Lonchura striata: one gene and its partner. The protein of the gene in region 1 purifies or fractionates together with the protein of each later gene. This does not show direct contact. Links are inferred from orthologs where the notes say so. Each region holds a gene or a part of one and is shown on either strand. Other genes may lie near its edges. The genes, in order: SEC16A and SEC23B.

What was found.
Region 2: the proteins of SEC16A (region 1) and SEC23B purify together in Homo sapiens (affinity purification with mass spectrometry; 3 studies listed by BioGRID and IntAct, with this or other methods). This does not show direct contact. The link is inferred for Lonchura striata from reciprocal best matches to the Homo sapiens genes SEC16A and SEC23B.

The regions. Positions count from the first base shown.
Region 1 is NC_134624.1:8,860,330-8,872,338, forward strand, and holds the start of SEC16A (protein transport protein Sec16A), read left to right. Parts: upstream 1-6,642; 5' UTR 6,643-6,660; intron 6,661-10,487; exon of another isoform or gene 10,488-10,588; 5' UTR 10,589-10,662; coding exon 10,663-12,009. Other genes in the region: NOTCH1 (neurogenic locus notch homolog protein 1), read left to right, coding at 1-331. UniProt on the Homo sapiens protein: Acts as a molecular scaffold that plays a key role in the organization of the endoplasmic reticulum exit sites (ERES), also known as transitional endoplasmic reticulum (tER).
Region 2 is NC_134605.1:22,407,096-22,419,104, reverse strand, and holds the start of SEC23B (protein transport protein Sec23B), read left to right. Parts: upstream 1-5,050; 5' UTR 5,051-5,121; intron 5,122-6,845; 5' UTR 6,846-6,861; coding exon 6,862-7,082; intron 7,083-7,095; exon of another isoform or gene 7,096-7,451; intron 7,452-8,085; coding exon 8,086-8,143; intron 8,144-8,727; coding exon 8,728-8,814; intron 8,815-8,993; coding exon 8,994-9,230; intron 9,231-9,648; coding exon 9,649-9,734; intron 9,735-10,196; coding exon 10,197-10,341; intron 10,342-10,882; coding exon 10,883-11,041; intron 11,042-11,722; coding exon 11,723-11,838; intron 11,839-12,009. UniProt on the Homo sapiens protein: Component of the coat protein complex II (COPII) which promotes the formation of transport vesicles from the endoplasmic reticulum (ER).

The DNA of each region.
Region 1 (12,009 bases):
GAGCGGCAGCGCCATGGCCGTGCACACCATCCTGCCGCAGGATTCCCAGATGCTGCCCACCTCCCTGCCCTCCTCCCTCGCCCAGCCCATGACCACCACGCAGTTCCTGACCCCTCCTTCCCAGCACAGTTATTCCTCCCCCATGGACAACACGCCCAGCCACCAGCTCCAGGTGCCCGACCACCCTTTCCTCACGCCGTCGCCGGAGTCGCCGGACCAGTGGTCCAGCTCCTCTCCTCACTCCAACGTGTCCGACTGGTCCGAGGGCATCTCCAGCCCTCCCACGAGTATGCAGTCACAGATGGGACACATCCCCGAGGCCTTCAAGTAAAAAAAAAACACAAAAAAAGGTGTTTTAGAGACGCTCACTGCGAGCCAGAATCTCCCTCGCAGGAGGGAGATTTTTTTGGGTTTTTTTTTAAAAGGACGTCGGATGCTTTTATTAAAGGATCTTTTTTAAATATGTTTTTATAAAAAAGGAAAAAAAGAAAAGAAAAAGACAAGTTGATTCCTTTTTTTTTTTTTAGTATTTATTTATGTACTTTTTATTTTACATGAGAACACTGCCTTTTTATTTATATGTTCTATTGTTAAGAACTCAGTGTGGGACACCAGTTGTGTTTCGAGAAATCAACAAATTAGGTTTTTATAGGACATTCTGTTTTGTTTGGGGGGGTTCACTGTGTTTGATTTGAGAGGAAATGTTTATGTAAAGCTATAAGCAACGATTTGTGATTCTGAAATGCCATTAATTTATTCTTTTTCTCTTTCAATTTAGAAAGAGAGGTGAGAAAGAAGAGGGGAAGGAAAAAACTGACTAAAAATACCACTCCTTAAGGGGAAAAAAAAATTAAGTATGGACAAATTTTTAAAATGTACTTTAAAATGTTTCCTTTGCAATTATATGAGAGGACATTTTATGGTACCAGTCATGAATCTTTGTTTAAATTTCAGTATTATATAGTTGTACATTTGCCTTGATAACAGAAATTTTTGTTCTCTCTTGTTTTTATATATATAAAAATATATATATTTAAATGATTTTTATGATCTAAAAAAAAAAAAGAAAAAGAAAAGCAGGATTATAGACCTGTAAGAACAGTTTCTAAGCTAAAAATAAACCCTACAAAACATGAATACTGTCCCCCATCAAAAAGAAATGTATTTACCAAACTTCCAAGAGAGCAAGCCCATAACTATGGAGTATATACACAAAGGAGACTTAATTTTACTTTGAATATCTTTACTGGTTTTTTTGTTTTGCTTTCGTGTTTGAGTAACTGTTTGAAGAAATAAATGCCAATATAAACTTTGTAAACCACATCCTTATTTTAAGGATGGGCCTGCCTATTTTTTAGAAGAAGGCGTGTCTGGCAGTGCAGACACCCCGAGTGAGATTACAAAGCATTATCACCCTGCCAGCCCCGCTCCTCTGGCAGAGCCCCCACTGGGTGCCCAGTGGGATGTGCTGCTGGTTTTGGTGGGAGGCTGGACTGGCCAAACTGGAGGGCGAGGGGCCAGCACAGCTGTGCTGTGAAACGTTGACATTTTGTTCTGTGACGTTAGCCTGGAGTGATGCATCTTTTTTTATATTGGTGTGCACTCTTTCTGTGTATCATGTAAAATATAGTATAAGCCTGTGGCAGATTTAATGTTTGTAAATATGGGGTGGGGTTTTTTTTTGGTTTTTGGTTTTTTTTTTTGGTTTGGGCTTTTTTTTTTTCAAGAAAAGGTGGATTTTGTTTCAAAAATCTAAATGAGCAAGTCTTAAATATATCATAAATATATCACCTTATAGAGGTGTTGGAATATCACTCACTCGGGTGCAAAAGCAAGCAGACACCCCAAAATTAGATAACGTGTATGGGACAGGCAGATAGAGAGCAGTTAATCAAGAAAACCTAAGAAAAGGGTTCCTTTTCCTCATTCCTTTCTATTAGAACACCAAATAAAATGGATATTTCTCAAGGCACAGCGCCTTCCTGAGCACTCATCTTAGTTAACATTTCAGACCATTGTTATTGTGACACGCCTAATATGAGTGATAAAAACATCACGTGGTGTTGAATCTTCCTATGTTTTATAAACTAGAGTGTAGTTTAAGAAAAGATATCTTCTGTAATAAAGTTATCTACATGCAAAGTTGTAGTTTGCAAAAATGATGTATTTTTTTTGGTTAACTGATTTGCAATAAATGATGCTTCTGGGCATCTAGATTTTACTAAAACTGGAACTTGGTGTTTCTGTTACGGGTCAGTTGAATTCTGGATTTCAGAGCTGCTTCTTGCACAGAGGACTGGAGCTTCCTCACCATCTTGTTCTCTGTGTAAAAAAAAAAAAATCAGAGAAGAGCTTTGGACAATGAAAATTTCTCTTTAATTTCTGCTAAACTCTCACTGATTTGAGATACCTGAGCAAGGTTCTGCCCATTTAGCTCTTCACCTGCTTTGGTATCCTCAGGCCATCGAGTCAAGATCTAAAAGGGGAAACATGGAAAAATTGTTTTAAAGAATGTCCCTCATGCATCTCCAAAAAACCCAGGAACAGCAGCACCAGAGGGAGAGTTTTACTTGCGTCACTCTGGGCACAAACACCACCCAGAAATGTTTGCTGTCCTTGCTGTGCTCAAGATTTTTAAGGTAATTTCATTTCATTTCATTTCATTCTTTCTCTACCCCACAGGGACTCTGCAGTGCAAATGCAGCTGCAAAGTCCCCAGATAACTGGATATAAATAGTGGAGCTGTTGCCCTCCTCCCAAATCACATAAGCCTGGAATGCTGGTATTTTCCACTCGGTGGCTGGGGAGGGAGAGGGTTTGTGTGTGTGTCCATCCCCAGATAGATCCAGGGCCACCAAACACCTGCTGTACAACTGGTGCTGTAACAGTGGCGTTTTATTTGATTTTCTATTTTATTTTATTGTATTTTATTTCACAGCAGTGAAATGCATCTTCAGAGGTCAGGGATGTGCCATTATTCCAGGAAAGAGAGCCTCAAACTCCATGGAAAGGAGTGTTTTAAGGGAGAACAAAACCTGTCTTCCACCTGAGAAACGTGGATTCAACACCCAGAGGGACATCCTGGAGGGAGCTGGGCTTCCCAGGGATGTGTCACCCCCTTCCTGTGCCTGCATCCCATCTGGAATGCACCAAATGGAGTTTGTCTGCCTCCAGCGTGACTCACACATGAGCTGCTCAGGAATCCCACACTGCCCAGCCTTCCAGGCTTCTCCCACACATTCCCACCCCAAAACCAGCCCAGCACGGCCCCGCTGCTGCCAGTGGGGCTGGGACATCCCAAAGTGAGGAGGCCTTAGAAGGATCCTCTCTGCCTCATCCAGAGTGAAACTGAGGCACTCGTGGGCAAGGCAGAAATTTGGCCTGGAATAGATGAAAAAAAAAAAAAAATGTTTATGAGGACATGGAAAACAATGTGACATTGCAAGAGGCAGCACATGTGGGCTCGTTTAACAAGAGGGGATGCAAAGCAGGGGATTTTCCATATCAGAGGGACAGGATGAGGAAAGAGGGGGGCTAAATACCATGGAAAGAAGCAAAGGGATGGATATTAATTAATTGTCCACAAGGTAATTCAAACTAGAAATCAGCAAAGGTTTTTAAGGAGTAGGAGAGAAAGGATGCAAAAATTTAGGTTTTAAGTGCTTAGCCCCAAATTACTTTGCTTTATGAAGGCATCTGGTGACCAACCAACCTGTGGGTACATGAGATGATTGTGGTGTCACAGATCCAGCTGGGATGGAGGCTAAATTAAAGGAGAAACAAGAGAAATGGCCCCAGTTTCAAACTCTCCTGTCACACTTAAGGCTTCTTCCCACACCAACCAACCCACGCTGCCCCACCACAAGCTCACCTTCGCCTCGTGCAGGTGAAGATTTTTGGGAGCTGAATTTGAAGCTCTCCCAGCACCAGAAGATGCCAAGGAGTGACTGGATCATGGCAAGCACGGCTGTCTCAGCATTCCAGGTGAAAAAGGCACCAAAATCACATCCTGCTCCGAGGGAAGGGTGCCGGAAAACAAGATTAGCACCGGCTATTGCCATGGCAGGTATGTTGGTGCTCTGAGGAATCCCTGCACCTGAACTATTTGTTTACCTGCTGGAGGGCTTGTTTTTTTGTTGGGTTTTTTTTTTTTTTTTTCATTCTTTGTTTTCATTATTCCTGCTCAATTAGATGGGACATTTAGAAACTGCTACTCTGTATTGCTTCTCCCTCCAGGCTGTCGGTGTTTGCTCGCAGCTGCTCCAGCCCTGATTGAGGAATTGTTGCTGAAGCTGAAATCAGCCCCTGAAGAATGTGCAAAAGGAGCCAAATTCATCTCGGGCTTAAAATCAAACAGGGGTTAATGTGGCTGGGGTAGTCTGAATAATCACAGCAACTGGATGAGTAAATAAATAAGACTCAGGTTGTCCAGTTGGCTATCATGGTGCAGAATGCTAGTAAGGGATAGAGATACTCTCCTTTAGCCTTTATCCACGTTTCTAAACTCAAAGAATGATCCTTTTCATAGCAAGCCCGTGGGGCAAGGTCGTGTTTCTGGTTGTGTGCAACCTGAAGACTGAATAAATTACCAGAAAAAGGTCAGAATTGTTTGTGTTGTATCCCAGGTGAGCTGAGGAACAGAGCAGCTGTGGCTGCCCTGGATCCCTGGAAGTGTCCAAGGCCAGGCTGGACGGGGCTTGGAGCACCCTGGGATGGTGAAAGGTGTCCTTGCCCTGGCAGGGGGTGGAATTTGATGATTTTTAGGGTCATTCCCAAACCATTCTGCGATTCTGTGAAGCAGAAGAGAAGGACACACGCTGTCCTCACTGGCAGGGATTTTCATTTATAATGGGTCACTCAAGTCCAGAACTACTGCTGAGTACAGCAAACCAGCTAGAAAACATCAGGTTAAAAAGGGATTGCATGCTTTAATGTAGAAATTCTTTATAATCACGTGTTTATCAGGAGAACAGCAAAGGTGAGATCCATTGTTGGTGTTTGCATCATGTCCCCCTATATAAGGGGGTTAAACATGTAACATAAATATCTAACTATAGACACAGATGTCAGCTATTGATGCTATTTAGCACACAAAAAGCCAATCGAGCTAATTAAAATCATGTTTCCTCAGATTACACCTGTTGGGGGAAATATCAAGGGAGAAGCAGGGCTTCATCTGCAACTCCTGCCTGCGCAGGGAAATGGTGTTTGACAAGCTGGTTTTTAAGAATGTTCCTACAAAAGAGGGAGATGAAAGGCACTTAAAAATCACAGCGCTGCCTCTGGTTCCCACACCAGCATCAAAGGCTGCTTCCCCTGCTTGGCCAGGGCTTTGAGGATATTTCTCTGCTTTAATGATCCAGCATGCAGGAACAGCTCTGCACTGATAGTGACCCTTGATTAAGATGTTTGTTTAGGTTGCTCGTGTTTTCCTCTCCAAGGCTTGTTGTTGGGTGCAGGGTGTGACAGTGTCCGTGCTGGTGGGTGACAGGCATTCTTCTGGTGGCTGGAACGGGGGTTCACCCCCCTAAAAAAGCTTCGTGTTTGTGTAAAATGGAGCTGCAACTCGCAGGGCCACGAAGCTGGTGCAGGGTCCGGAGCACCCAGAGAGGCTGGGGGGGCTCAGCCTGGAGAAAAGGAGGCTCAGGAGGGAATGTTTTGCGTTGCTTCTGCGCTTTTGATTCCCAAAGAGCTGTTTTTATGGAGTCACAGACTTGTGTGGGTTGGAAGGGACTTTCAAGATCATCTCCTTGCGCCCTGTCCATCACCTCATCCTCCCTGACGGGAGGATGGACACAAGGGACAGGGTGAAAGGACACGGCCTCCAGTTGTGCCAGGGGAGGCTTAAATTGGCTATTTGGGAAAATTTCATGGCAGAAAGGGTGGCTAAACCTTAGAACTGTGCTGGAATCATCATCCCTGGAGCGTTCAAAAGGGCACACGGATGTGGCACTTGGGGACGGGGTTTAGTGGTGAACACGGTAATCTTGGAGGGATTTTTCAGCCTTAAGGATTCTGGAATTAGTTTCTGATCCTGTTTTTGGACACGTGCATCCCAGTTAATTTGCCTTTCCTAATTAGGCCCCCACGGACGTGCAGGACAGGACCTCGCTGTGCAGCGAGTCACAGCTCAGCTCCGCGAGGCATCCTCATTTCCGTGGGCACGGATTCCTCCTCTCGGGGAGCCCCTGAGCCTCCCCCGCCCCGGCCCGCGATGGGCAGCGGCTCCCGCGGGGCCGGCACCGCACCGGCGGAGCTCTGTCCCGCCCTGGCGGCCGCCCGCGACACTGCACCCGCACCGGGCAGCGCAGGGCACCGCGACCCCCGCACCGCACCGCGCTCCGCCACTCCCCGGCGGCACAGGGGAGGCGCCGCGAACGGGACTCGAACCCGCGACCTTGCATCCCGCAGCCGCTCCAGCCGGGACTCGAACCTGTGATCCTACATCCCGCAGCCGCCCCGGCCGGGACTCGAACCCGCGGCCGCACGGCAGCGCCGCCGCCGGGTGCGCGCGCCGCGGTGGCGTCACGGCGCCGTGACACGTCGGCGGCGGCGGCGGAACCCCGAGGCGGATGTGCCAAGATGGCGGCGGCCGGCGCTGGGGCCGCGCGGGGCGGCGGCGCCCGCTGCTGAGGGGCCTCGGCCGGCGGCGGCTGCCAGGTACCGCGGGGCGCTGCCGGAGAGGAAGGACGCGGGTGGGCTGCAGCGGCGTCAGGCTCGAGGCGCGGTGCCCGCCCCGCCGGGCCTCGGGGCTGTCGCAGCGCACGGAGCCGGCGGGTCCCGCCGCTCCCGGGCCCGGCTGGGGCGGGCCGTGCTGCCGCAGCCGGGGGTTTTCCCGCAGGGTTTGGGGTTCCTTGGGCGGTCCTTGTGGCTCTGCGGGGCTCCGGAGGTTGTTCCGGGGGAGCGGCGGGGGAGGGTTCCGAGGGATGCTGGCTGTGGCTGTCCCCGCTGGCAGCGCTGCTGCCGGGGCAGGGTTGTTTGGGTTGTTTTTTGCGAGCTGCCAGGTGCCCCAGGTGGGTGCAACTGGTGCTGACTCAGGAGTGCGGCTGCCGGAGAGCCTCGGCACCTGCTGGGCTGAGAACCGGTGACTGGATCCTTTTAGAATAAACCGGAATGCTTTCTGCTGCCTCTGTGCTTTTGGTTCCCAGTGAGCTGTTCTGATGGAGCCACGGACTGGTTTGCTTTGGAGGGACCTTAAAAATCATCAAATTCCACCCCCTGCCATGGGCAGGGACACCTTCCACTGTCCCAGGCTGCTCCAAGCCCTGTCCAGTCTGGCCTGGGACACTTCCAGGGATCCAGGCGCAGCCACAGCTGCTCTGGGCATCCCCACCCTCACAGGGAAGGATTTTTTTCCTGATACCTCAGTAAACCTGCCCTGTGCCTGTTTAAAGCCATTCCCCTTGTCCTGTCGCTACATTTTAACATACATAACATATATGTTAGACGACATACATATATAGGATAACATTTATAACTCTGGTTGCTGTTGAGGAAAAGCCTGGTAGGAATCTGTCAGGAGAGTGAGTGATGTAGAATGTGTTCAATCTGTCACCCACATGTGTGCAGATGTGCGGCTGCCTACGTAAGATAAAACTGAAAAAGTAGTTGCTGATTTTAAAGCTGCAAATCTCATTTTTCCAGATGTTCTGTATTTGAGATTGCACTGGGTTGTTGGGGTTTTTTTGGTTTTTTTTTTTTTTTTTTATTTGGTTGGTTTTTTTGTAGTTGTTATTGGTGGTTTTTTTAGTCATTTTGTTTTTAGGAATCTGTGTATGTGAACACGTTATTTATTGTTTGCTTCACTTGTGAGGATGAGAGTTAATATTTGTCCTCTGTAACCTGCTTTATGGCCGTAGTTATTCTGTTCAAGAGTAATTTATTTAGATAGGTTTTAATTAGTTGCCCCCAGAGGAATTATTTACTTATAGATGAAGCTATAGAGCTCATTGGGTGAACTTAATTTTATGGCCTCATCTAAAGGGTTTTAATCCTTTTTCCCTTTTTGGCAATGTTATTTTGGTACACTGGAAACGCCTTCTGCACTCCTGGTGACTCATGTTTAGCAGGCTACTCTGCTTTATCAATTAATAAACCAGCTGAAAGTTAAGAATTTCCAAACTCTACAAAGCAGAGGTGGATTGCTCTTAACTTGTGTAGTTATTTCTAAATTCCTTAAAATCAGCATTTTTGTTAATCCTGGATGAGGCACAGGAGGGTCAGTAGCACTGAGTTATCTTCTGTTTAAATTACTCGACATGGGCACATTCATTTTATTTGGACTCAGTTCCTCAAATCTTGCTTGCTTTTACTACTGTGTGCAATCTGTTAATATTAACTTTGCTTCTGAGGAAGCTGATCTCTCATACTGAACCTCTGTCATGCACCATCAAAGATCCTGTTAGAGGAATGGCAAGTTCTGCCTAAAAGTAGGACTTTACACTTATTTTAATTAGCTAATTACTGGTGCTGGCTGTTACAAAAATATGGTAAATTATTAAGATTTTTTTTTAATATGACGCTGCAAGGGGTAAAGTCCACATTAGACACGTGGAAGTGGGTATTTAAGTTGGCTTTTGTGCTCAGCTGTATTTCAGAAACAACTTTTCTATGAAAAACAGAGCTATTTATTAGATACCAATATTTTGGTCAGTGCAGTTTGTGCTTTCCAGGTCATACAAGCCTTGGCAGATGGTTTAATTAGCTTTTTTCCTCCCCAGCCCAAAGTATGTTGTATAAACACATGCTTTTATTTGGAGGGGAGAGAGGGGTTTTTGAAATCTGGTTAATACAACAAAGAACATGATGAAAAAGAAATGGGGATGCCCAGAAGAGCATGTGGAAATTGGGGTGGGGGTTTAGGCAGGACTTCCTGGAAACGTGGCTGGCAGCAAGGCTGGTAAGCACGGCCAGCTGGAAAACCTTCACCTCAGGATTGTAACAGGAGAAAAGATTGCAAAGTCCTGAAACTCTTTGTAAGCATTCCTTGATGGAATTCAGCAGCTGTGCTTCAGAAAGAACGGTGGTCACATGCAAGTAACGTGTGAAACTGATGGAGCTCTAATGCCTCTGTTGAAATCTGTTTGGTATCCTTCCCATCTTAATAAAACACAAATTTATGGAGTCTTAACTCTAGATATGGCTGTGGAATGTATGGATATGGGGGAGAAATTGAGAGTCTCTGTTTGAAAGAGGGACCTGGATTCTACACAAGGCTGTTGGAGACATTTTTCTTTAGGAAGAGTTGTTCTGATGTCCAGTAAAGGCTGTGTGCTGCGGTACTTCAGTGTGCTTTTTATTGGAATATTTTAGGTATAAATCTTTATGAAATACGTGTAGTATTTTTGATAACAAGAAACCAGAAGTGCTTTGCATTTGAACTTCTCTATAACTGTTACAGTTTTGTCCTGATTACAAACATCTGACTTTTCTGGCTGCCCATTTTATTACTCTTACTGACAAGATGCTGAATCTTAGAAGAACTCCAAATGAGAATTGCACAGCTTTTTTCTTTTATAAGCAGAAGAGCATCTGGTGTGGAGCAATTGCTGTGGGTACTTCACTCTGCATATTATAAACAATGTTTGTTGTGTGCTATGAGAAAACAAGATTATCATATGCTGATAAGGCTTCACTGAGCTCCACTGGCTAAGTATTGATGAATTCCTCTGGTTTGCCAGCCCCCATCCTCCCCAGATTGTTAAGAGGTGATAAAATTGAAAAAGACACCCTGATGAATTTACTGAACTTCCTGTGTACCAGATTCCTGCCTGGTATTGTTTGGAGCTGGGGTTGGATTACTTCTGAGTGTGTCCTTTCCACCCTGAAGTGCAGCTGTAACCCTAATACTGTGCCAAAGTCCCTCTGGTGTTAAAGTGAGAATGGTCATTGATAGGTGGGGGTAGTTGATTGTTTTTCTATCCTTAAATGCACTTTTGCTATGCATCATTCATCTAGAAGAGAGAATATTTGTGATGAAGATGCAATTGCCTTTCTCAAAATAAATAACAGTACAGTGCCACACGATGTTTTCTTAGTTAAACCATAAGTGGACTGTTGAGGGTGATAACATCTGATGAATTCCTTCTAGGGATGCTTCTCATCTTTCCTGTGCAAAGGTCCAGTCACATGGAGTACCAGTGCAGCAGGGCTGAAGATCATCTCTAACAGAATTAGGGTTAGATCATGACTTCTCAACTCTTCATAATTAAATTGAGCAGGGCCATGGTGCTGCAGGCTCTGTTCCTGGCTGGTTGCTGTCCTGTCTGTGGTGCATATTTCTGGGAAATGTAACAGTGGGATACCACTGGAGGGTTTGACACTAGTGCAGGTCTGAACTGTGTTTCATTATCCTACTTGGATATATTTAATAGAATTGTTAAATAATGTGCATTGTTACCACACAGCCTTACACTTCATTAATGCTGGAGAAATACAATGGAGTGTGTTGGTTCCTTAGGAATTCTGAAGAACAGGGAGATATTTTCCACTTCAAATTCTTCGCGTGATTTTGTTTCTAAAATAAAAGTTGCTCAAGTGCTGCGCATATTGTGAGAAAGGGAACTGACTTATCCCTGTGTTGTCTCAGCAGGCCAGAAGAAGACATCCCTGAGCTGCCTCCGCGGGCTGTTTGTCACCGTGTGACCCTGCCGGGAGGCCACCATGCAGCAGCCACCGCAGCCCGTCCCTGCCGGGGCGCCTCCTCCTCCTCCCGCCGGCGTGGCCCGCAACCTGTACTGGAGGAACAGCCCCCTCGGCAAGCGGGCAAACGCCGCGGCTGCGCCGGTGCAGCCCGTGACAGACCCCTTTGCCTTCGGCAGGCAAACCCCCCAGGGCTCCCCTTTGGAGAACCCACCCAAGGGCAGCGCGCCGGCCTTCCCGCAGCCAGCCCCGGTGCATCCGCCGCCCGCCCGCGCCGGGGACAGCCCTCACGGACCACACAGCTCTCTGTCAGCGCCCGGCTCTCAGGCAGGCATTAGCACCAGTAGTTTTTCCAGCCTTCCAGTTCCTCCTCCGTCCCTGGGGTATGTTTTAAATAGTGCTGCAGAAGGGCATCCCAACGCCGATCTCGGACTCCGGGGGGCTGCAGTGCCGTTGCATTATAACCCAGGAGCAGCAGTGGAAAATTCTTTCAGTGTGCATCCTGGAATGGTGTCTGCAGCGAACAAACCTGGAGCTAGGCAGGATGTTGGCAGAGATCCCAATGATGCAGCTGCAGCACCCAACACAGCAGCACTCTTCCCACCACCTCCCCAGCAGCCTGGGCCCCAGTGGAGGCCTGTCCCAGGGAATCTGCAGTCTCCAGTTCGGAATTTTGTGCCCTATCCTGAGCCGTCTCCTCAGACTGACATTCATAACGTTTCTCAGCCTTCTGTCAGCACTTCTCACCCTCCTCCTCACGCAAATGTCCCGCAGGGTCCTGGACACCAAGGTATTCCACAAAACATCGTGCAAGCGCCTTTATCCTCTGGTTGTGAGAAGAATGGCAAAAATGGCCCTGCAAACAGCAGTCATCACATGAACAGCATCCAGCCTGGAAATGTGTTTAGGCAGAATGCAGAAATGACTAACCCTTGGTCAAACCAACCTTACCAGGAACAGTTTTACCCACAGCCACCTTTGCAAGGCTCTGGTTTTGTCCTCCCCACAGCTCAGGAAAACAACCCCAAAAACCAGTCTCCAGCTATGTCTGAAATGTCAAATAGATCTATTCCCACAGATCGAGATCCAGGAACTCTCTCCATGTTTTTCAAAGGGGATGAGGCAGAAAATGAAGAAATACTTTCATCTGAAAAAAAATACGTAATGGAGAAAACAGAGTTTGATGCCCGTCAGCAAAATTCAGCCTCCCTGTATCACCAGCCTGTGCATCCTCAGCAGGTAGCAACCAATATTCTCTCTCAGGCACAGCTGGGTACAGTTGGTGAGATGGTACAGAAAGGAATGGATGTCCAGTACTTCCCTAAACTTGTCAGTCATCAGGAGGCACAGGCTGCTAAGCACTCTCTG
Region 2 (12,009 bases), on another chromosome or scaffold:
TAGATTCCAGCATCCAGAGAAACAGAGGGCTGGAATGGCACACTAGGAGGCAGGGTGGGGTGCACAGGGGCTGTGCACAGACAGGCTGGCCCCTGTACCACTTGCTGCCTGTGGCTTCAGCTGGCTCTGGCCAGGGTGGATCTCTCCACAATACTCAGTATCTTTACAATGCTCTGCCAGCAATGGGGAACAATCTGGAGGTCAAGCACAACACAGGGCTTGTTGCATTTGGCTATTTTCAAGTGTGCCTGGCTGAAAACAAGCCCTTTGGACAATGTGTTGGGAGGGTGGTGGGAAAGTACCTCTGTGGCTGAGTTAGCAGCAGCCTGGGTAACCTGACAGAGGGTTAATGTAGATTTTGGAACAGTTTACCTCATAAGGGTAATACTTTACATCAGCATTTTCAATGCTATCCAGGAGTTTGCACTAAGAGCAGTCTGGATCACATACGAAAGTGTTCAAATCTTGCTTGATTTCCACTTCCCTTACAGCATGGCGGACAGAGGCTAATGAGGGTGCCTTATGAAGAATAAAAAAAGCTCCCATGGCTCCTGTCCATGCAGGGAGGGTATGGATGCAGAGGCAAAGGCTGCTTGTGTGGGAGCAGCTGAGCGTGTACTGGAGCAAACAATGAGCACCTGATAAGCTGGCAAGTCCATGGAAGGACTCTGATTGTCCCAGCGAGGTGAGCACCTTCAGCAGGCTCTCCTTTTGCTGCAGTGTTGTCTCCAGGTGAAAGGGATGCATATCTCTACAGAGGCAGAAGGGCTCTTAGGAAAGAGATGTGGGGGTGAAATGGTTGGAGCTTCATTCTCCCTCTGCCCCCTTTAACTACTCAGCACAGAGAAGCCAAGGGGAAAATGCTGCTCTCTTCCCTGGAAGGCGCCTTGGATCAGACATCCTTTATTCCAGCCAAGGTAATTTCATTGAGATGTGGGGCTGGGGTTGTCTTTGTCTTCCTGTCTTTAAAGAGGACCTGACACAATGGGGTCCTGAGCCTGCTTCTGCAGAGATAACACAATGTTTGTGCTCCACTACAGCTAGAAGATAACTTCCAGGGAAACAACAGGGCTTTATCATGCAGGTATGTCACTTTATGCTCTATAATCACATTCATTGGCAATAAGAAAAAGGAGAGAAAGCTTCTCCTCAGTGAACAGCTTTAGGAAGTAGATAGATGGTTTATTAAGCTCTTTAAATTTTGGCATTGTGTTTATCTGGCTTAGATGACCTTTGTGGTATCTCAAACTTCTTAGTGTTGAAGCTGTAACAAGACTTCTCAGATTTGGAGAAAAGTGCCTATAAGGGGAAAGTAATTTCAATTTAGTTTCTTACAGATAGCAATCTGTCTGATCTATTTCTATATGAATCAGACAAATGATCTTTCTGTCACTCTGGTTCTTCATGAACCTGGCTGATGTATTAGGCTGACATTCTTATCTGAAAAGGGAATAAATGCTACAAGGTAGCATTAATGGTGTCCTGAGTTTTGTCAATCTTCTCCTTGGTGAAGCTGTCCCTGTTCCAAACTGGTATGAAATGTAATGTTTTGAGGATACTACTATAGTAGCTCCAGTACTCAACATGAAAACATTTACATGTGGAAAGCTGAATTATCCCTTAAAACATGGATGACAAATAGGAAGCATGATCTGCTCATTTATTTTCACAGGCCTCATGCAAGAGGTTAGAGTTCAGCTGCTGCAGGACCATGAGATTCTCCTGAGCTGGAGAGAGCTCATTCTTGTTTTCATGAGCCCTGATCCTGCTGTCAACCCACGAGCCTCTTGTGAGTGGTTGCCTCACTAGTAGTAGCCAACTCTCCAAAGGCAAGTTGGAGGGTGGGCACACCCAGATGCCACATGGAGTCGAGTGCAAAATTGTGTTTTAATTCCAAGGCAAACATTCACTATGGTAGCTGGCTGGATTGTGAACTGACAGTGTAAAGCTGGCAGGTATTGTCTGGCATGTATAGCCTTTACACTCCAAAGTTTAAAACATGAGGATGAATAGCAAACTTGAAGCTTCGATAGTGAAAATTTTCCCCGTGGCTGAGTGGCAGTTTAGTTTTTCCTGGGTTTGGTCGGTTGGCTGGGGGTTTTGTATTTGTACTTCGATGGTAACCGATCCGGGTAATTGTTGTTCCGCTGGTGCTGTTAGAGCACCATATCCTGTCTCTTCCTGGGATGGCTCCCCCAGGGCTCCAACAGGAAAAAAGCTCGGTCTTAAGCCTTACTGGTTTCTTTTTTGTCTCCACATGCATTTGATTTTGGGAAAAAACTGTAGTGAGTGGAGACAACTGGGTCTCCTATTGCTGCTAAACACTTGATGCTTTGAAACAGGGTACAGACACCTCAAACAGAGCTGTCCTCTGCCACACACAGACCACCTTTCCCTCCTCTTGCTCTGCTCGGCTGGGACTTTGTGTCATTTCACCTGTGAGAAATGCAAGGCTAGGCCCTCCTCAGCCATGCTGAGCCTAGATTAGCTCCTGGAGGAGACTGGAAGGTAGCATGACAGGCTCCACAGGTGATGTCCAAGTTCTTGCTGAAAATGTTCACTTCTGCCATGAGAAAGTCAGTCATGGGACTTTGCTCACTCTTCAGGAGATCTTCTGGAGAATGGGGAGGACAGGAACCAGAGCTCAAAGTTCTCCTCTCTGACAGCTGTTTAACACAAACTAAGCTGGGGCTTGTGTAGGCAGCCTGTGGTGTTTTCCTTTCTCTCACTTTTGAAGCAAGCTTGTGTTTCTTTCAGGAAATGCTTTGGGGAAAGCTTTTACTTGGGTATTTGTTCCACAGACACAGGGCTTTAAGATTGTGCTCCTCTTCCAAACTGATTTGGTTTAACCCAGCAGACATTAAACACCACACAGGTGTTCCCTTACTTCCTCCCCAGTGGGATAGGAGAGACAATTGTAAAAAAAGTAAAGCTTGTAGATTCAGATGAGGACAGTTTAACAGGGCAGAAAATGAAGGGGAAATAATGGTAAGAGATTATATAAATTAAGTGATGAACAATACAGTTGCTCCTCCTCTGCTGACCGTTGCCCAAGGAGTGCCAGAGCAGAGGGCTGGAAACCAGCAGCCAACTCTTCCCAGTTTTATCATTCACTATATGATAAGGAACAAGGAACATCCCTTGAACCACTTGGGATCACTTGTCCTGTCTTTGTCTCCTTCCAAATTAATTGCGCACCCCCAGCTTTCCTGGCTGGCAGGAAGAACCTAAGAAGTCGTTGACTTAGCATAAGAATTGCTCAGCAAGAACTAAATTATCAGGGTGTATCAATATCTTCATAATCCTAAATCAAAAAATGCAACACTAAACCAGCTCCAAGGGAGGAAAATTAACTCTGAAAGTTGAAAGCAGGACACAAACTCACAATCATTGCTCAATATTTTAGTTAATCTAATGTTTGCAGAGGGGTGCACTATGGCCTTGAAGCCCTAGGTCCTGGTAAGGCTCTTTGCTGTTGAGATGTGGCAGTGGGAGGAAGATGTAAACAAACAGGCAACTTCAGAAGAGCAGATTTGCTTTGCCTCCTACTTGGAGAGCCAGTCCTGGGTCTGAGAATGTTAGTAATATTAGTAATTAGAATTTTACACACTTTAGCATATACATATCAGTAGCATGCTTCTACTTTTTTATTCCCTCTCTATTTGGGATGTCAGGAAGCTGGGAAGGCAAAAATGAATGTTCACCTCAGACAGCATTTCATTTTGCTTTGTTTTGGACATGGAACTGTACTCTGCATATTCCAGATTTTTGTTGCATTTAAAAGAAATAAAACAGGGAAAAAAGAACAAAACAAAAAACCAAAACAAACAACCCCCCCCAAAAAAACCCCAAAAACAACAACAACAACAACAACAACAAAAACAAACAAAAAAAACCCCAAAAAAACCCCAGAGCTGGACATGGGTGAGTAGACTTGACCACAGGGCATAATTTCCTCTAAGCAACGGTGGAGCGGTGCCCACACAGAAGCCTGGGAGATATTTGTAAGCTGACCGCTGCATGAATGTAAAGCAAACACCAAAACTCTTAGAAGCAGAGAATTGAGGTATTTCCCTGCAATACCTTTGCACCTCGAAAGTCTGCAGGATTCAGGAATGGATTTGCATCCGTGCATTCAGATAGGACAAATACCACTTGCACAGCATCACGTAAAGCTGCAGGGAAGGATTCTTGTCTTGGGCTCACTAGGACAAGCTCTTGGCTTTGGAAGAGTCTGGGAAGCAATACAAGATGGAAGCAATGAAAGAAGGACACATATTTGTCTAATTTCAAGGCAGGGACAAATTCCTGGGGCAATTCAGGTGTGCCAAACTTGTACCTCGTATCCACAGGCTCCCTGAAAATTGTGTCCATCCCTGGATCTCTCGGAGGGTCTGGGCGCTGTAGGGCTCTCCCCAGTAGGCTGAGGCACAGATTTCCTGGCAGAAGGGTGAACCACTGTGGCCTCGAGCAGATGTGGGGGTAAAGCTCTGTCAGCGAACAGAACGGGAGGAAAACCCGATGGATTGTCCCCGCCTTGCTGCTGGAATAGATGGCCTCATGCCTTTGCCCAGCGTGTGCCGCTGACCCAGCGTGTCCGGGGACAGAACCCTCGGCCCGAGAGAGGAGCTGGGAACTGAGACTCTGTGGGGCTCGCAGTTTATTTCTTTAAGAAGTGTCTCGGTGTTTTTAGTGGAGCGCTACTCATAACCCTGGGAATGCTCCCTGACGAACACACCCGAGCGCGCTCCCAAGCAGCCGAGCCCCTTGAGGGCGGGGCTGCTTCCCTCATGCCGTGCCAGGGTAGGAAGGCGGCACCGCATCCCACATTTAGCAGGGACACCCCGCCTGTCGCCATTCCAAGGCGAACCTGCCGCCCTCAGCCGAGCCGAGCTCCCTGCCGCCGCCGCCCGGCTATGTTTGGAAGGAGCCTGCCTCTCCCCTCCTCCTGAAGGGCGGCGCAGCGTGCCCTTAGCCAAGATGGCGGCGGAGCCTCAGCGGGGGTGGGGCGGGCGTGCCGCCGCCGCCGCCATCTTGGCCGCGGGCAGCGCGCACCGCTGAGCTGGCCTTGCCGGGCGCGCGGGGCGTGCTGGGAGGGAGCGGCGCGAGCGGCGCGGGCAGGTGGGAGCGGCGGGGCTCCGAGGGAAGGGAATGGGAACGGGAACGGGAATGAGGGGTCTGTGTCCCCTGAGGGGAGCGGTGGGTGACGGCCCCTGTGAGGGGGCCAGTGGTGTCCCTGCGGCAGGGTCTGGAGGGAGCGGTCAGCGGTGTCCCCTGAGGGGAGTTGGGCATGGTCCGCGGTGCTTTCATGGGGTCAGCCGTGTCCCACAGAGCAGCAGGTGCTCGCTTTGGCCGGGCTGGGGATCCGCAGTGTCCCCCTGGGCTGGGGTCAGGCGTGCCCCTGTGGAGGGCCAGCAGTGCTTTGCCCTGTGGCCGTGCCGGGGATCGGTGCTCGGAGGGGCGGAGGTGGTACCTGCGGTGTCCCCTGCAGCCGTGCTGAGCGATTACACCTGTCCTCCCGCTGTCCTGACCCCAAAGTAGGGCCACAGCCCGTGCCAGACCCAGCATGGCAATCAGGGAAGTGATGCTGGGCTACAGCTGGGGAAACATGGAATAAATCAAATGTTTATATTGCTGTTCTGATGTGCGGGATCTTTTACAGGAAGACTCAGCTCTGATTTTCACCTTGACAGATCTATTTGTAGTGGGGATGTGTTGTGAACCCTTCTTTTGTCCATCCACTCAGGGGGGTGGAAACATGGGGCAGTTCTCCTTAAGCTTGATTTACATCCTTAATAGCAAGGAAGAGGAAAACGTCAGTGAGTTTGGAGTTCTGTAGGAAAACGTTATACCAAAACTTCTCCTCCTCTGAGGGGAGGTGTTGCTTCTGATTTCTCATGTGAGTAGCCCTCCTGAATATCCCATCTGCAGTGAGGATCAGGAGTAAGGTAATCCTGGAGCATTTGCAGCTGTAGGTGAGCCTCTGAATTTCCTTGTCTGAAGTAGGTTGTGGAGCTGCTGCTTTTGGCTCAGTGAGTTGCTGCTAGTGCTGTGTGGTGTTTGTGGTCTGGATTTGACAAGTAAGTTTTTTGATAAGCTTGTTCTTGCCTTTCTCAGAAAAATCAAAAGCAGTGATGGCCTGGAAACTCTTGTTTGTGTCTTATTTTGAAGAGTTTAGTAAGACAACACAGAGAATGTGTTGGGAATATTCCTCCTTGATTTTTTTTTTTTTGAAGCCTTCTGGACTCTCAGTTCTTTCCTTATTGGCAGTGGAACAATGATGCTAGGCAGTGTGGGTGTCCAAAAGATCGTTTTTGGTATTTTGTCATGTACTCTCTTGTCTTTGTAAGCAGGTCAGGCTGGCAGCTTGGTGGCATTTGTGATTGTTTTGGTCTCAGACTTGGCCTCCTTTTCTCCCTGCAGTGTTTCAGCTGAAGGCTCCAGGATGGGTTGCAAATCTGGCCTATTTTCCTTTACTGACCCAGTCAGGCAGGATTGCCTTGAGGCCAGCATGAACCTCATTGGATTTTGACGTGTTAAATGTGTATCATAAGAAAAAAAACAACCTCTTATGCTCTGACTTTGAGTGTCAGCTTTCCTTGTTTCTTTGTTGGACTTGGTGGTGTTTTAATTGGCTGTAATGTTGATGAGAGCACTGGACAGAAGAGATTAATGGAGTCACGTGGTTTCCTTGATAATGGGATTAATTCATTGTACTGTGCTAGCTTTGTCCTGGCAGTGTCTTGTGCCCCCACCTGTAGTTGATCTGCTGAGCTCCTTTGCAGGCCTGTTGTCCACACAAGTGGCTGCTGCCCCAACCTTCTGTGCCTTCTTCTGTCCTTCAGGAGCTTCAGTGGGGCCATGGCGACGTACCTGGAGTTCATCCAGCAGAACGAGGAGCGTGACGGCGTGCGCTTCAGCTGGAACATGTGGCCCTCCAGCAGGCTGGAGGCCACAAGGATGGTTGTGCCCCTGGCCTGTCTCCTGACCCCGCTGAAGGAGCGTCTGGACCTGCCTCCTGTGCAGTATGAACCTGTGCTTTGCAGCAGGCCAACCTGCAAAGCTGTGCTCAACCCACTCTGGTAGGAATTGCTTAGCTGGGGATGTTGGAAGGGGCTGGACATTATCTAATTTTCATTTGAACTTCACTACTTTCTTATTCCCCTTTTTCTCTGCCCAGTGCCTGGCAGCCTCTTTCATTTAGATGCAGTGAGCTTGTTAAAATCCATACATCAACACGCCTGTTACTAGAGTTGGCAAGAGCAGAGGACACAGGAGGATCTTTGGAGAGGCTGTTAAGGCAGAGGGTCCTCTCAGCATCCCAGAGAATTTTCCTCATAGAAGACAAAGAGCAAACTCATGGTAGACAAAGATGCCCATTGTACTGATACTGTGCTCTGGACTTGATGCTTACTTGTTTTCCTGCTTCCTACGCACCCTGCTGCTTGTAGGTCAGTTTCCAGTATGAGCATAATGAAATAATTTTAGAGGAATATCTCGGTCCCAAATTATGAGATGATCATGCATATTGGGAGCATGGTGTTGGGCTGAGAAAAAGCAGGCAATACCAATAAGAGGAATTGAAATGAGATCAAAGCCATGGAATGAGAACGTGGCGAGGCATCCTGCACTAGCAGGATGTTGTACTGGGCTGAGGAGAGTAAACTCTGTGGGACAGGGAACAGCCTGTTTGTTCTGTGTTTGCACAAGATCTGGGTGGATGGCTCCTGCTGCTCTGAGACTGGAACACTTGTGTGCTACAGCTGCACAAACAATAAGACAATGAGATTAGCCTAAGTGTAGTGAAATAATTAGTAGACCCAAGTCTGTGTCTGCCAAGGGCTGAACTTCAGAGAGCTCAGTGGTCCCTCATGCTGACAAGCCTGCAAACGGCAGGGCTGGATTAGCTAATGAACTTCCTGGTAATAGAACCAGAGTCTGAATCCCTAAAACACTTGCTGTTCAAGCTGGAGTGTCTGTTTCTTCCTCAGTGCTGTGAACCAGCATGGATTAATGAATTAATTGTGAAGCATTCCTGTAAAATTGTTCCTGAAGTCACACCAATGCCTCATCTTTCCCTTGCAGCCAAGTTGACTATCGGGCCAAGCTTTGGGCTTGTAACTTCTGTTTTCAGAGAAACCAGGTAAGTTGGAAAAAGAACTTTGACCTTTTCAGTGAACACTTTATTGATGGCCTTCCCTGGACATTAAATGTAAATTCTGCTTCTCTAGATCCTTTCCCTTGGCCTTCTTCTCTTGCTGAACCCAGGCCAGAGTACAGTCTGGTTTACCTGACGTCTTGTCAGTGATTTTGCTGGCATGCAGAGCATAGAAAAGAGATTAAAATGCTATTTTGTTCTATGTGTCCCAGTGTGTTTTTTGCATCTGATATTTACTATTCCTGCAGAATATGGAATTCATTAGGTTTGAGTAGACTTTTGCCATCAGAAACTACGGCTAAAAGAATTTCAACTAGTACATTATTGCTGCTGTAGCCTTACCTTTTATTTACAGTGGATTGAGCAGCTGTCCATCCTGGCCCCTTGTTGGCTGTTCTTAGGAAAAGCACTGTGGGTTTTTTATAATGAATTAATCAGGTTGGTGCAGTGTCAGTAAATAAAAAGTTGAATAACTACATCATCAGCAGGGCAGGCTCTGTGCTGCATTAGAGAGCCCTATATTTTTGTTCTGCAGCTTCCTTGTCCTAATTTTTTGTTCTCTTTTTCAGTTTCCCCCAGCTTATGCTGGCATTTCTGAAGTCAATCAACCAGCAGAGCTTATGCCTCAGTTTTCAACAATTGAATACATAGTGCAGGTAAATGAGCCACAGACGAGGTTGAAGCTCCCAGAATTGTCTTGTTTGTGACAAATGATATATGTGTAAAATTTTCTTAGGATAATGCAAATAAATACCATGTCTGCAAGGTGCTTAAGAAGGGCTAATTTTATTCCTTGGCTGGAGGCTTTAGAAAATGTAATTTCTTCCCACATCAGCGAGGTCCGCAGACGCCGTTGATCTTCCTGTATGTTGTGGACACGTGCTTGGAAGAGGAGGATTTGCAGGCCCTGAAGGAGTCCCTGCAGATGTCCCTGAGCCTGCTGCCTCCTGATGCCCTGGTGGGGCTCATCACTTTTGGCCGGATGGTCCAGGTTCACGAGCTGAGCTGTGAAGGGATTTCCAAGAGCTACGTGTTCCGGGGCACCAAGGACCTGACAGCCAAGCAGATACAGGTGTGCTCTGCCATCCCTGGCTGCTCTGCCATCCCTCAGGCCAGGGGCTTGTACCTCTCAGCTCTGTTGGGCTCTCAAGCTCAGGGCTCTCTGGGAGAAAGAAGGGCTTAGTGCCCTCAACTGTGAGCCTTTTGCCCTCTCACTATCTGTCCTGTCTTTTTGCTTTTGTATAAGTACAACTCTAGCCATTTACTTTGAGTTGTAAATGTCTTGGAAGCTTGTTCAGGATTGAGTTTGTGTATCTCACATAATGGACCCATGATCCATTCCTAATGGCAGTGCAAAGATGGATAATTTTACAGATTTAAGTATATTTAATGCTACAGTATTGCATGCTTTAGAGTATATTAAGTAATAATGTAAGTAATATATTTAGTGTTTGAATAGTACATCTCTGCCTCCTCTTTACTGTTCTTAGGATATGCTTGGTCTTTCAAGGCCAGCTGTCCCCATGCAACAGGGAAGACCTCTTCAAACTCCAGAGCAGCCTGTTATTTCCAGCAGGTAAGCTTTACCAGCACAGGAGACAGCAGGGCACATGTTTTATGCCCCTTTATATCTGTAGGTCATGCCTCTAACCCTGGGTTTCCTGGGAGGGGAAAGAAGATTTAAATCGTATTGTCTTGTCACAATTACTTACCTCCATTAAAAACAGTTTTCTCTTTCTCAGCTTCTCTTTTTCAGTGATAGCTCTCATGCCTTTCAGCAAACTCACCTTTGAACTTCTTTCTTTTTCTTTATGTGACTTTGCCTTCTTGTCAGTTTCTGATGTCTTGCTATGATTAAATTTTTTATTTTGCACAGGCTTGTTATCTTGGAAAATTTGCATGTAAGAAGACAACCTGCTGCATGTCTCTTTTCTTCTGATTATTGTCTCAGTACAATTTATGTGTGGCAGGAACAAGAGGCAGTTTTTTTCTTCTCCAAACTTAGAAGCAGGAAAACACTGCATTTGAATTTTTGCAGGTTCCTGCAGCCCGTGCATAAGATTGACATGAATTTAACAGATCTGCTTGGAGAGCTGCAGAGGGACCCATGGCCAGTGACCCAGGGGAAGAGACCCTTGCGTTCTACTGGAGTGGCTCTTTCAATTGCAGTTGGCTTATTGGAGGTATTTCTAATGCTGTTGGTTGAGATGAGCAGGCCAAAGTAAGCACATAGCCATGCTCCCTGAGATGGGTGCAGGTGTCAGTGCAGCTGGGTTGTAGCGGGGTGCAGAAGTGTAATTTGTCTGTACTGACATTTGAGCTGTGCTAGCACCAGCTGATGTAGAGTGGGCTGGAAGGTTCTATCTAAATGGTAAAATTTTCAGGTGTTTAAAAGTCTCTGATTCTTGTGTATGTTGGCATACAAGAGGTGATACTATGCACTGGATTTTTCTAAGTATCATCTAAGATATAAGTAAAGGGAACAGAAACTGCTGGCTTCCTGTTTTGAGGACATGATTTGAGTTTAAACTTGATCTGAGTGCTGTGACTGTCAGGAAATGCATCACTATTTATCGAGGTGGCCTCTAGCAGGGACAGGTCTCCACTGCCATTGCAGAAGCATGTGCAGACCCCTCTCTAAAGAAAACATTGTTGCTACTTAATTAGTTTCCCTTTTTTTTCCCTCCTCCCTCTCTCTGATATATGTCTTTGTTTTTATTTCAGGGCACATTTCCAAACACAGGGGCCAGAATAATGCTGTTCACAGGTGGGCCACCAACACAAGGGCCAGGCATGGTGGTAGGAGATGAACTGAAAACACCCATCCGTTCCTGGCATGACATAGAGAAGGACAATGCAAGGTTCATGAAGAAGGCTACCAAAGTGGGTACTAGGCCTTGATGGGTGTGTTTAAAAGCTGAAACTGAATGTTGTGTCAGAACACTACATGGGTTCCATGGTTGTCCTTGAAATAATCTGAGTCTTTGTGTACACTAAATTATGAGGATGGTTAAGGGAAGAGTAGAAAAGCTTCCTCCTAGTTACTTCTCCATCACAGTCTTGTGCCTTGTCAGAGAAGAAAGTATTTCAGTGTTGTTTCTTAGCTGATGGCGGGTGGAGAGCTTGTTCATCCACATCATTGTATTTCCTTCTGGAGAGGAAGAAATCTCCTAAGAACTGCTTATTTCCAGAAAGCCCCCTTTATCTTCTTGACATACAAAACAACCATTAAAACAGTAAAAATGTCAGATATTAAATGCGCCTGTCAGCTTAGAGAAAGCAGGATGACACCTGCTCTTTAACTATCACCTGGGTATCTTTGCGTTCCCACCAAGTTATCACAGACTAGATGATGCCTTATCATTTATGCACTGTTTGTATTTGAGACAATAAACTCTGGCTCATCTGAATGCATCCCTCATACTAGAAGGAAGCAGTGTGCTGCAGCCAACATCTCTTCAGTTACCACAGCACTGGTGTTTGCCCCATCTGTACCTCGTGTTGAGGTGGGGAGCAGCAGAAATTGCACACTGCAGTCTCCTAACCCCCGATATGTGTTCCCAGCACTACGAGACTCTGGCCAACCGCTCTGCGGCCAACGGGCACTGCATCGACATCTACGCCTGTGCCCTGGACCAGACAGGGCTGCTGGAGATGAAGTGCTGTACAAACCTCACTGGGTATGTTCACAGCAGGGCAGCACACAGTTGGCACCCACTTTTTGGGTTTTTTTTGGATAGGGAGGATAGTTCAGGAAGCAATTAGATGTGCTGTCAGGGCAGAAGGGTTTTTATTGTTCTGTTCTAAACTGTGGTTTGAATTTGCCAGAAATTTTATATGGCAAGCCTCAC